Callithrix jacchus: one gene and its partners. The main gene of each other region encodes a partner of the protein of the gene in region 3 in a complex. Links are inferred from orthologs where the notes say so. Each region holds a gene or a part of one and is shown on either strand. Other genes may lie near its edges. The genes, in order: CNN1, PRKG1 and ITPR1.

Region 1 (3,793 bases), on a different chromosome or scaffold from region 3:
AGGAGAAAGTGGGAGTTGGGGGCAAGTCCAAGGGCTCTGGCTGAGCACCTAGAAGTGGACATTGCTAAGCAGGGAAGGTGGAGGGAGAGGGAGTCTGGAGGGGGAAGCTGCGTGTCAGGAGTCTGGAGCAGGGTGAATTTGATTTGAGACACCCAGACACCCACAGAGGGAGCTGGATGAGACCGAGAGAAACCCAGGCTACAGGGAGATGAGGGAGTTGCTGGCATATGGAGGCACTTAAAGTCAACAGACTGAATGAGGCCAGGCGCTGCAGCTCATGCCTGTAATCCCAGTATTTTGTGAGGCTGAGGCAAGAGGATCACTTGAGCCCAGGAGTTCCAGACAAGCTTAGGCAATACAGTGAAACCCCATCTTTACAAAAAAACAAAAGATAGCCAGGTGTGGTGGTGCACACTTATGATCCCAGCTACTTGGAAGGCTGAGATGGAAGGATCGTGGGAGCCTGGGAAGTTGAGGCTGCTGCAGTGAGCTGTGATTGTACCACTGCACTGTAGCCCGGGTGACAGAGCCAGACCCTGTACCAGAAAAATAAAAGACTGGACAAGATCATTAAAGGGGTCAGAGAAGAGGCCCCTGTGGGCTCCCTGCTGTCTACAAGAGAAAAGGATGCTGAGACACTGGAGGGTAACATGAATTGTTTAAAAAAAGGCCATTCTGGGCCAGGCACCATGGCTCAAGCCTCTAATCCTAGCACTTTGGGAGACCAAGGCAGGCATATCACTTCAGGTCAGGAGTTCAAAACCAGCCTGACCAACATGGTGAAACCAAATATCTACTAAAAATACAAAAAAATTAGCCAGGCAGCAAGGCTTGGGAAATCCTGGAGACTCAGACACACCTTGGATGAGGAGGCTTTTTGATTGGGACCTGAGTCTAGCTCCCTGCCCCATTTATATGTGTGCTTGGGTGGTTTGGAGGGGCTGTAGCTGAGAGCTGACGGCAGGGAGAAGTGACTGGGGCATGGCGTGGCCCCTTGTGGTCATCCTGACACCATCCTCCCTCACTGGGCTGGGCTGGGTAGGGAGTAGGGGGACACCTTTCTTAGCCCCTCCCCACTCTTCTCAGATTCATCAATAAGCTTCAGCCAGGCTCTGTGAAGAAGATCAATGAATCAACCCAAAACTGGCACCAGGTAAGCCCAGCCCCAATCTCTTCCATCCTTGCCCACACACCTCAGACCTCCACCAGCCCCCCAGTGACCATCGCCTGCCCCCCTCTAGCTGGAGAACATTGGCAACTTCATCAAGGCCATCACCAAGTATGGGGTGAAGCCCCATGACATCTTTGAGGCCAATGACCTGTTTGAGAACACCAACCATACACAGGTGCAGTCCACCCTCCTGGCCCTGGCCAGCATGGTGAGTGTGGGTGCAGGCTGGGCAGGGGGCAGTGGGCAGCCCGGGCTGGGATGCACGTATGGCCACTTGTGCCCCCGAGCTCAGTGTGGCCCAGGCGTGGTGGCTCACGCCTGTAATCCCAGCACTTTGGGAGGCCAAGGTGGGCAGATTGCTTGAGGTCGGGAGTTCAAGACCAGCCTGGCAACATGCTGAAACCCCATCTCTACTAAAAATACAGAAATGAGCTGGGCATGGTGGCACATGTCTGTAATCCCAGCTACTCAGGAGGATGAGGCAGGAGAATCGCTTGAACCCGGAAGGCAGAGGCTGCAGTGAGCCGAGATTGAGCCACTCCCTGCACTCTAGCCTGGGTGACAAAGCGAGACTCCATCTCATAAATAAATAAATAAATAACAGTGTCCATGGGGACCGTGCAGCAGGGCGGCCCCCTCGTCAGTCCCTGCTCTCCCTGCCCCACCCAGGCCAAGACGAAAGGAAACAAAGTGAATGTGGGGGTGAAGTATGCAGAGAAGCAGGAGCGGAAATTTGAGCCAGAGAAGCTAAGAGAAGGACGGAACATCATCGGGCTGCAGGTACATCCCTATCCTCTCCACGCAGAGGTCAAGGAGGCCAGGAAGGCAGGGTGTCTGCAGGCTTTTGGGGACGAGATATTCAGCCTTAACTATACTATAGGCCAGGTACTGTCCTTATCCACATCTTCTATTCACAAACTCACTCACTTTGCCAACACCCCTAGCAGAGAGATGTTGTTATCACTATGCTCATTCCATGAATGGGAAAACAGGCCCGGAGAAGCTGGCTCACTTTTGCCCAGATCTTCCAGCTGATGCGTGGCAGGCTGAGACTGGAATGCTGGAAGTCAGTCATGTGATAGACCTAGTCTGAGCCTCAGTTTCCAGTCTGGAAACAGTGCCTCAGGCAGGGTGCAATGGCTGACACCTGTAATTCCGGCACTTATGGAGGCTGAAGCAGGAGGACTGCCTGAGGTCAGGAGTTTCAGACCAGCCTGGGCAAAACAGAGAGATCCCGCCACTGCCATCTCTACAAAAAAATTTAAGAATTTAGCCAAATGTGTGGTGGCTGAAGTGAAAGCATCACTTGAGCCCCAGGAGTTCAAGGTTATAATGAGCTATGACTGCATCATTGCACTCCAGCCTGGGGGACAGAGTGAGACCCTGTCTCTGAAAAATAAAAATTGGCTGGGCAAAGTGGCTCATGCCTGTAATCCCAGCACTTTGGGAGGCCGAGGCGGGTGGATCAACTGAAGTCAGGAATTTGAGGCCAGCCTGGTCAACATAGTGCTACCCTGTCTCCGCCAAAAAGACAAAAATTAGCCAGGCATGGCAGCGAGCAACTGTAGTCCCAGCTACTTGGGAGGCTGAGGCAGGAGAATCACTTGAGCTTGGGAGGTGGAGGTTGCAGTGAGCCAAGATCATGCCACTGCATTCCAGCCTGGGCGACAGAATGAGACTCAAATAAAATTTTTAAAAAATTAAAGAAGAATAGAATAAAACAAAATAAAATGTAAAGATAAAATAAGGCTGGGCGTGGTGGCTAACACCTGTAATCCCAGCACTTTGGGAGGCCGAGGTGTGTGGCTCATGAGATCAGGAGTTCAAGACCATCCTGGCCAACATGGTGAAACCCCATCTCTACTAAAACTACAAAAATTAGTTGGGCGTGGGGGCACTGCCTGTAGCCCCAGCTACTTGGGGGGCTGAGGCAGGAGAATTGCTTGAACCAGGGAGTCGGAGGTTGCAGTGAGCTGAGATCACACCACTGTACTCCAGCCTGGGCAACAGAGCCAGACTCCTTCTCTAAATAAATAAAATAAAATAAAATAAAACATGAAAACAGTGTCTCATCCTCTCATATCAGCCACATCTCATGGCCCATGATGAGGTAATTCTTGGTGTGATTCTCCTTCTGGCTTTGTAGATGGGCACCAACAAGTTTGCCAGCCAGCAGGGCATGACGGCCTACGGTACCCGGCGCCACCTCTACGACCCCAAGCTGGGCACAGACCAGCCTCTGGACCAGGCGACCATCAGCCTGCAGATGGGCACCAACAAAGGAGCCAGCCAGGTGAGAGGGGCCCCCTGGGGCACACTGTCAAGGCCCAGGACCCGGGCTGCCCCATGGCCTGACCACACCACCCTTCGCAGGCCGGCATGACCGCACCAGGGACCAAGCGGCAGATCTTTGAGCCAGGGCTGGGCATGGAGCACTGCGACACGCTGAATGTCAGCCTGCAGATGGGCAGCAACAAGGGCGCCTCGCAGCGGGGCATGACAGTGTATGGGCTGCCTCGCCAGGTCTACGACCCCAAGTACTGCCTGACGCCCGAGTACCCTGAGCTGGGGGAGCCTGCCCACAACCACCACACACACAACTACTACAATTCCGCCTAGGGC
Region 2 (3,793 bases), on a different chromosome or scaffold from region 3:
TGTGCTTTTGCGAGTTCAATGTTTTTCTTATTTTAATCAGTTTGAGCTGATATTGCCCATTTAGGTCAACTGAAGGATTCAAAAGTAAAAGCAGCTAAAGAACACACAAGAAAATTAATCAAAGAAAATAGGAGAAAGTATTCAGATAAACTCTTGTCTCTAATTTCTTTGAAGCTATCAAAAGCATGATCTCCCTAAAAAGTAACCTTTAAGATATTTGCAAGTGTTAATAAATAAGAAGACAAGTAACTAGCAGAGCTAAGGACCACTACAGAACTGAAAGTCATGTTGAAAACAGAATAGTAACAATTAAATTCAGAAAACTGAATAGTAACAATTAAAAATCCAGCAAGGGAGATAGTAGATAGGCTTGGAAAAAATAATGGAAAAAGAAAAAAGATATAGATATGATTTCAGAAACAGAAGCTATTAGTCAAAGGAAATAGAAAAATACATGAATTATGTGTATGAATATAATATTACAAACAGGAGAAAAACATATTTAATTACATAATAGAAAATCCGTGGCATAAAGATTTGATTAAGTGTATCCTTTTGATCTGCAGTGACCAGGGGGAAACCGATTGAGAATAATAACACCACAGGGTGTCCATGTGGAATCTCCTAAATTCATTAATAAGGAATAGTCTTATTGGCATCAGTGCTATAAAAACTTGGCATGTGTGGTATTGAGAGTGAAGATAGTTAAAGTTCCAGTTGGCCTCAATCCTCTCTACAGCATCTATAATACCAAAAGATAGTATATCAAGAACTATATAGTTCTAAGGATCACAGAAAGTATAACTCAAGTAATTTATACTGAGGTAAGTTATTCTTCAAATACAAACACAATATGTAAAGTGTGGAACCCAGGCCTTTCTCAAAAACACTACTGTTTAATCAAGTCAACAAAAAGAGGAATCAAAATAAAGCATTCAGGAATAGAGAAACAAGTGAAAAGATTGATGGTGAAATTTGAGTCTAATTAATTGATACTTAGATCAAATAATTTAAATTTGGGTAATTGAACAGAATGTCAATGTTGTAGGCTTTGGCAATCTTAAAATAACACTAAAACCAGCAAAAATTAAGGTGGGAAGTGAAAGTAGGTACAACTACAGATATAGTTATTTCTCATTATTAATAATCAGTAATATTACATATATTCTGCAGTTAAAATGTGTCATTACAGAAGAGAAATTTCTAAATTCAGTCTGAATTTTTTTTTAATTTTAGAGAAATATTTTAGGAATTATTGGTTAAGGAGGATGTATTTGAAATTTAGCATTTCTTTCCATTTTACTCCTTAGTTTAAAGTAAACTTAAATTGAATATTTTTAATTTTAAAATATGCATAATATATTCTGTCTACAATCCACATAGAGAAATCTATGAAAATATGTTCATCAAACGTTGATTACTATGAATATTTTTTGGTGTTGAATGACTTTCTTCTAAATAATTTTGTTTTATATATTGAATGAATATTAGACTAACATGCATCACATAAAAACCACAAAAACCATCTTTAATAATTGATTTTAGTTGTCTAAGATAAGCAATTAAATATAAAAGCAAACATATAAATTAGAAAACATTACATTTATAACACAGAAACCCAAAGATGTGGGTCCTTCTCATTTTTTAAAGTAAAAATGAAAACTGGCATGTTAACTTAAGAGAATAAAGAGAATATTCAATCATAGGATCACATAAAGAGAAACTGTTTAAATTCTAAGACAATACTAAATAGATTTTCATGTTTATATATTTTTTAAGTGATGTAAAATTGATAGACAATTACTAGCTAATAACATATTAAAGTAAATAGAAAGCACTTTGCACAACAAATCAAGGCAGAATCCATCACAGCCCTTAGCACAGGTAAATCTGCTACTCCTTACTTTAAATAACTCATAAGCCTGCTTGATAAAAAGAAATCATTTGAACTGCTCTTAATAAACATGAACATGAAGGGCAAAAATATAATAATTCAGATTTCTCCCCCAAAGACACACAAAAACTGTATTAAAGAGAATAACTAATTTTCAAAGAAATCATTTGTCAAGGTGTACCATCATCTCCCTTCTAAACTGTGAGAAATATGAAGAAAAGACCTCACTTTAGTCATCTTTGTACTCACTGAAGTTGCCACAAACTACACTTCAAGGATGGATAGGTTAAAAAAAAATCAACAGATGTGCCTCATGAGGACTGAAGGGTTACATCCTTACCAACAAAGATAATGATTAGTGTTAAGTTATCTAATGAGGTCCTCTGTGCGGAGAGAAAATGATAGAAGGAGTACTATTCTACAGAAATATTAGATCAATAAATATTTACTGACCCCTTAGTATGTACGTGCTGTGAACACTACTCAACTCTGGGAATACCAGCAGAAAATAAACTATTCTGGAAGGGAAGACAGACATAACATAAATAACTACACAAATGAAAAGATAATTACAAAGTACAATAAGTGGCATAAGCGTGCTATGAAAGTGTAACAGGGACGAAAACTTTAAATTTGAGCATAAGATTAGATTGTTAGATTTTGTGGGTTGATAGAGGTTAATTGATTTTATTAGGTTGACCAGAGTAGGCCTTTTGGAGAAAACAACATAAAACTTACTTCACTGAGATTTGATAAAATGAGGCATTGGCCAGATATGTGGGGAGAACCTTTCAGGCCAGATAAATAACACCATGAGGTAGGAAAGCGCTGAGCATTTCAGTGGAACAGAGAGACACTGTTGTTTCTGGATCCAAGTGAGTGAGGGTGGTAATGGCATGAGGTGAGGGGGGGGGTAGTATCGTTGGTGTTCCTGTGGCCCCTCCTAATGACTTAGGACTTCATCTCAAGTATAATGAGTGAGTCAGTAAGTGTGGAAAAGGTCAGAGAGTGAAAGAAGCATCTTGAATGACCAAGGACAGCATGAGGGATTAGACTCCAGCAGTAAAAAGAAATCAGGGAACAGCAGATAAACTTGACCCATTTCTGGTTTTGCTAAGTGATTTACCTGGAAGGACTTCTACACTGTTTAGCTCTTAATCTACTTTCATTCCATTGTCACTATTAATGTAAGCCCCCAAATAAGAATTGATGTCATCGGTGGAGTTTATAGCAATTCAAGTGTTCTCATGTAGGAAATAAAAATAATAACTCTTGTCATGTCTCTCATTCTTGCAGCCCACCTTTCTCAGGCCCGGATCCTATGAAAACCTATAACATCATACTGAGGGGAATTGACATGATAGAATTTCCGAAGAAGATTGCCAAAAATGCTGCTAATTTAATTAAAAAACTATGCAGGTAAGTATCTCAACTACATTATCTTTGAAAAAAATCATAATGTGAAAAGATTAGATGTAATAAAACTATTATTTTATTTTTAGGGACAATCCATCAGAAAGATTAGGGAACTTGAAAAATGGAGTAAAAGACATTCAAAAGCACAAGTAAGTCTTCTTTCCTTATAACTTTAGGTTTCAGAGTTCCAAACACCTGACATCATTTTGCCAGGGTGTTACTTTTTAAGTTATTGGTGTAAAAACTAGTACAATTAGCATATAGGAACATCCAAAGACAGAATATAAACTTATTAGGCTTTTCCTTTCTAGTTGTTTCTGAAACTTAATTTTATTTACCTGACAACGCTGTGACATAAGAAACTGAATTCATTGAACTCAGTTTCTTGCAACTCATACCAACTAGCATTGTTTTTTCCTCTCTGGCACAAAGAAGAAATGTGTATTTTAAATTTGGAGATTCTATTCTCTACCACAGTATTAC
Region 3 (4,264 bases):
GATTGTTCTTTAGATGTGCATATGCATAATCACACATACTTGAAAGAAAAAAATGGAAAACAGAAATGTCTGCACGACTGGCTGCAAAGCAAACTGGAAGGTATATGAAAAGGTAGCAACGTTTCACATTGCACACTACAGTTTAAACTTTCGAATTACTCAAAAGGGGAAACGCCTGATCCTTTCACCTACTCAGATGCTTTGATATAAATAATCAAGATGTATTTCAGCTGGGAGATGAGCCTAATACTTAACTTGCATAATGTTTCTTGTGGTTTTGTGTTGTTTCTTTTTACTCTCCTCATTCAGGCTTTCCAAAGTGAACTCATTACAACATCTAATACCTCCTCAAATATCTGCACTCTTTTATCCCTATATTTGTGGCTATATCCTTTCCTTCTTACATCAGTGTTAAGTATTACTTCATCATTGGTGGGATATAAGCAGGTTATTTCATCAATAGCAGTAAGTTTTCCATTTTTCCTAGCTTCCCTCTCACCACTCCCCATCCCCAAATCAACTTAGGTCCATTTGTGGGATGCAGTACAGCCTCACTGCCTGAAGGTATGTATACCTTGCTCCTACTTTATACTAGCTACCGGACAAGTGATTTCACTCTCTGCATCTCAGTTTCTTCACCTGTATGTCACTCAAAGGGTTTCCGAGACATACGGCTCTGACCCTGGCTTACGAGTACTTAATGTGTAACCATCTTATTATTTTTACCAACCAGTTAGAAAGGAATCTGTGAGCCAGGTTCTCCTTGTTGTACAGCTAATTCTGAAGAGGGGAACTAGACCCAATACTTGGCCCTGTGAGCACTCATATAGCCATGTGAGTCAATAAAAGAATTCCAATAAGAAACTAGAGTTCTCACATCCAAATGCTTCTCACTCCGCCAGTACTCCCGAGGATCTTATCAACAGGAAACAAAAGCACTACACCACTATAATGAAGCATCTGACTTTTATTTTCTCATTTAAAAAGTCCAAAGATTGTAGCCCAGGGAACAGCTAAATATTTAGAATGTTAAAAACGTTACTAAGACCCAGCCACCCACCCCACCCACCTCTGTTACCCTGTTATTTACCATGTTTCTGAACATTTCGGGGGGAAAAAACTTCTGATGGCCAAATCTGTAGCAATCGTGATGTATGTGCACCCGTTGAAACCTCCCACTCTTCAAATGCAGTCTGACCATTTTGGGGAAAAAATAGAAACTGTTGTGTTTACAGACAAATGCTGCTCTCAGCTCATATTCCACTACAGGCCCCAAGACAACAGGGACCTGCCTGATTCCTTGACATTCAGGTGGCTTGAGTCAAGGGCTGAATGTTACTATCTTAAGCTTCAACAACTAACTTCCCTTTTTTAAGTTCTAATTCTTTCAACTTGCAGCAACCACTTTCATTTCTTGGAGTCCAACCTACTCTGATTAAGCCACAGGTTCAAAGTTCGAAGAGAATAACTATTTTCTGAAGGAGAGAGGCAGTGAATACTGCTTACACATCCTGGCATATGAAACGCACTGCATCCTTCAGAATTTAAATCACCAGCACAGCCCGGCAATGGGCCGCCGTTTTATTGCTCCATTTAATGGCCTTTCCCCACCGCCCCCCTCATAAACCTTCAGGCTCCTTCAATTCTGTGCTTACGTCCAAGAAACGGACTGTCCACTGGACCTCTGCTCTTTAAAGCCCTCACCAAAGGCAGAGGCAAATTTTGACGACTGAGCAACGGAGTTTCTTTTTCTTACTTCCCACTTCCTTGGCTGTTTAGATAGAACTTAAAATAGACGTAGGACAAAAACTCATTATTGACTACAGCACTCAGGCTTCCACACTCACCTGACCCGGGTCAGGCACTCTGTTGCCAAAACAAGCCCAGCGAGGGGTGCAAATCCTGCTCCTCTGCAGTCAGCTCCTAAATATTTAGAAAGAAAGAAGACTGAGTAACAGACCGCGGAAGATGGGTCTCTAACAGAAATGTTCTAAATTACAAGTTTCCACCTTCTTTAGCCTCCTCCCCTGGAGAGACCCAAGTCTGGAGCAGAGCCTCCCCAAACTTGGCAGGCAGGTTTGGTGGGATCGCTTGGGAGAAGAATACAGGTATCTACGCTCATTTCCAGGATGTAACTGACAAGTGAGACTAGGCACGCACAAACTCCGAACTTGCGGGAGGCTGGAACTAAGGGAAATGTTTGGCAAATCCCAAAGCACTTGTTTCCCGGCGAGGTGGCCAAGTATCCGAAGCCTGCATCCTCACTGGACGTGAGCTTCGTCCACACTTCAGCCCTCACTGCTTCCCCGGTTTTCTTCCATTTTTAAAAACCCTCCCCACGGGGGCTCCCCACACATGCATTATTCTCCCAACCATGCAGTGCAAGAGAGGGCTACATTTTTAGAAAGATTATTTCCTTGAGCAGACTTACATATGACACCCCCACAACCTCTCTCTTCAAAAAAAGAAAAAAACTATTTCCTGCAGCTGCGGCAACAGTTTCCAACTTGGGGGAATGCCATACCAGTCCGGAATGGGGAGCCCCCAACACTATGCACTAGAGTCGAGGATATTTAAGGCTTTTTAAGCCTCAAATGAGCTCCCCCTAAAAACTGCCCGCAGTAAAGGAACCCCCCAAATGCATGCCAAGTGCATGCACATCCATCAAGATCTCCCAGAAAGCGGGGCAAAAACTTCTGCGCCCAGGGAGCCAGTGCCAACTCCCCGCGCCCTCTGCCCGGCCCCAGCCGCTACCTTGGTGCCCGGGGAGCCACGCCGGTTTGGGGCAGCAGGGCGAGGAGAGGGGTTAGCAGCCGCTGGGTAATCCCATGTCCGCGAAGAGGCAGCTCGTTCCGTTAGGATGGAAGCGGAACACCCACACCTCCTCTCGGCTTGCGCTTTCTCTCTCTCCACCCCCTGCCTCCTCCTCCACCACCACCTCCTCCTCCTCCTCCTCTCCTCCCACCCCAGCAAGCTTAAGGAAACACTTCAGCAGCACATCCACATGGTTACTGCACTTTGAAGCGGCTCCCGGCGGCTTATATAGGCCGGAAAGCTCCCTGGGCAATGTAGTCCGAGTCCCGGGTTGCGGCGGCGCCTGAGGCTGAGGGGAGGGACTACAAGTCCCAGAACCTCCTGGGCGCCGGGACTGGGCCCTAAATAGACGCGCGCGGGGACCGGGGAGGGACGTCCTACGGGGCGTTCATGCTGCTGAGCAGTCTCGCAGACTGAGGTCGGTAGGGCTTGGCGCTACCCCCCCCCCATAAAGCCGCCCCTGGGAAGTGCCCCCAACCCTTGGGGACGCCTCTCCTCCGGTTGCCCCTCTTCCCTGGAATCCAGGTGTCACTGGGGCCGGGGAGGGGCGAGGCGCTCGGATTTCTGCTTTGGGAAGTTTTTACAAGCGGTTACCCACCCTCCTCCTGCCTTGGGTCCCCGAGCCAAGAATTTCAGAAATCCGGGGCACAAAAACGCCAGTGTTTGCGGTCAGGGATTAAAGGCGCGAGGTTGTCTTTATTTAATCTGCTCCGCCCTGCTCGGGTTTGCACGAAAAACCAAGCCTGGGAGCGACGGTCCACGCAAGCGGAGACAGGCAAGTCGCGTGAGAGCACTTTTTTGAGCCCGAGCTGCCTGTGTCTTTGGTCGCCCCTCAGGAGGTAAAGAAACGCCAACCTCTCCGGTGCGCAAATTAAGGAGCCGTGTTGTGACTTGCCGGCTCTGAAACTGGAAGGCAGAAAATAAATACGATCTGCGACCTCTAGCAGCCCCTCTGCTCCTGGGTGCTGTAAATGCTTAGGTAAATAAACCGCAAACAAGAAAAATAAGGGCTCGGGAGAGTGCCGCTTCTACTGAGATGCGCGTCCAGGCGGGGCGCTCTCCTGCAGCTCCGACTAGGGCGAGGTGGGTTTCACCCGCTGCCAAGTAGTGCCTGGCTCCGCTACGAGCTGCTCAAGTTGGGGAAGAGCTAAGCCCAGAAGCAGTCAGCCGACTGCCCTCTCTTGCCTCAAATGACGTATATTCATTCCCCAAACGTTTCCTGAGTGTTTACTGGGTGCCAGGCGCACCATAGCATCCCAGACAGGCACTTCCTGACGCCGCCTAAAGATCTGTTATACGGTAATAATAATGATAATATTCAATGGAGAGGCTGATTTTACTGAGCCCAGATCCATGCAGTTTTCATGCGTCATGCTATTGAGTTTCACCAACTGTAGGTATATTTATCATACCTGTTTCGCAGGTGCACAATCCAGGGCTCAGAGAAATC

Evidence for each region.
Region 1: ITPR1 (region 3) and CNN1 share a complex: the UniProt entries of both Homo sapiens proteins name them as parts of the cGMP kinase signaling complex. The link is inferred for Callithrix jacchus from reciprocal best matches to the Homo sapiens genes ITPR1 and CNN1.
Region 2: ITPR1 (region 3) and PRKG1 share a complex: the UniProt entries of both Homo sapiens proteins name them as parts of the cGMP kinase signaling complex. The link is inferred for Callithrix jacchus from reciprocal best matches to the Homo sapiens genes ITPR1 and PRKG1.

Annotation. Positions count from the first base shown.
Region 1 is NC_133523.1:10,686,709-10,690,501, forward strand, and holds part of CNN1 (calponin-1), read left to right. Parts: intron 1-1,086; coding exon 1,087-1,153; intron 1,154-1,241; coding exon 1,242-1,379; intron 1,380-1,840; coding exon 1,841-1,951; intron 1,952-3,317; coding exon 3,318-3,464; intron 3,465-3,544; coding exon 3,545-3,790; 3' UTR 3,791-3,793. UniProt on the Homo sapiens protein: Thin filament-associated protein that is implicated in the regulation and modulation of smooth muscle contraction. It is capable of binding to actin, calmodulin and tropomyosin. The interaction of calponin with actin inhibits the actomyosin Mg-ATPase activity.
Region 2 is NC_133513.1:77,911,392-77,915,184, reverse strand, and holds part of PRKG1 (cGMP-dependent protein kinase 1), read left to right. Parts: intron 1-3,190; coding exon 3,191-3,313; intron 3,314-3,396; coding exon 3,397-3,459; intron 3,460-3,793. UniProt on the Homo sapiens protein: Serine/threonine protein kinase that acts as a key mediator of the nitric oxide (NO)/cGMP signaling pathway. GMP binding activates PRKG1, which phosphorylates serines and threonines on many cellular proteins.
Region 3 is NC_133516.1:61,630,718-61,634,981, reverse strand, and holds the start of ITPR1 (inositol 1,4,5-trisphosphate-gated calcium channel ITPR1), read right to left. Parts: upstream 3,016-4,264; 5' UTR 2,755-3,015; intron 1,924-2,754; 5' UTR 1,848-1,923; intron 1-1,847. UniProt on the Homo sapiens protein: Inositol 1,4,5-trisphosphate-gated calcium channel that, upon inositol 1,4,5-trisphosphate binding, mediates calcium release from the endoplasmic reticulum (ER).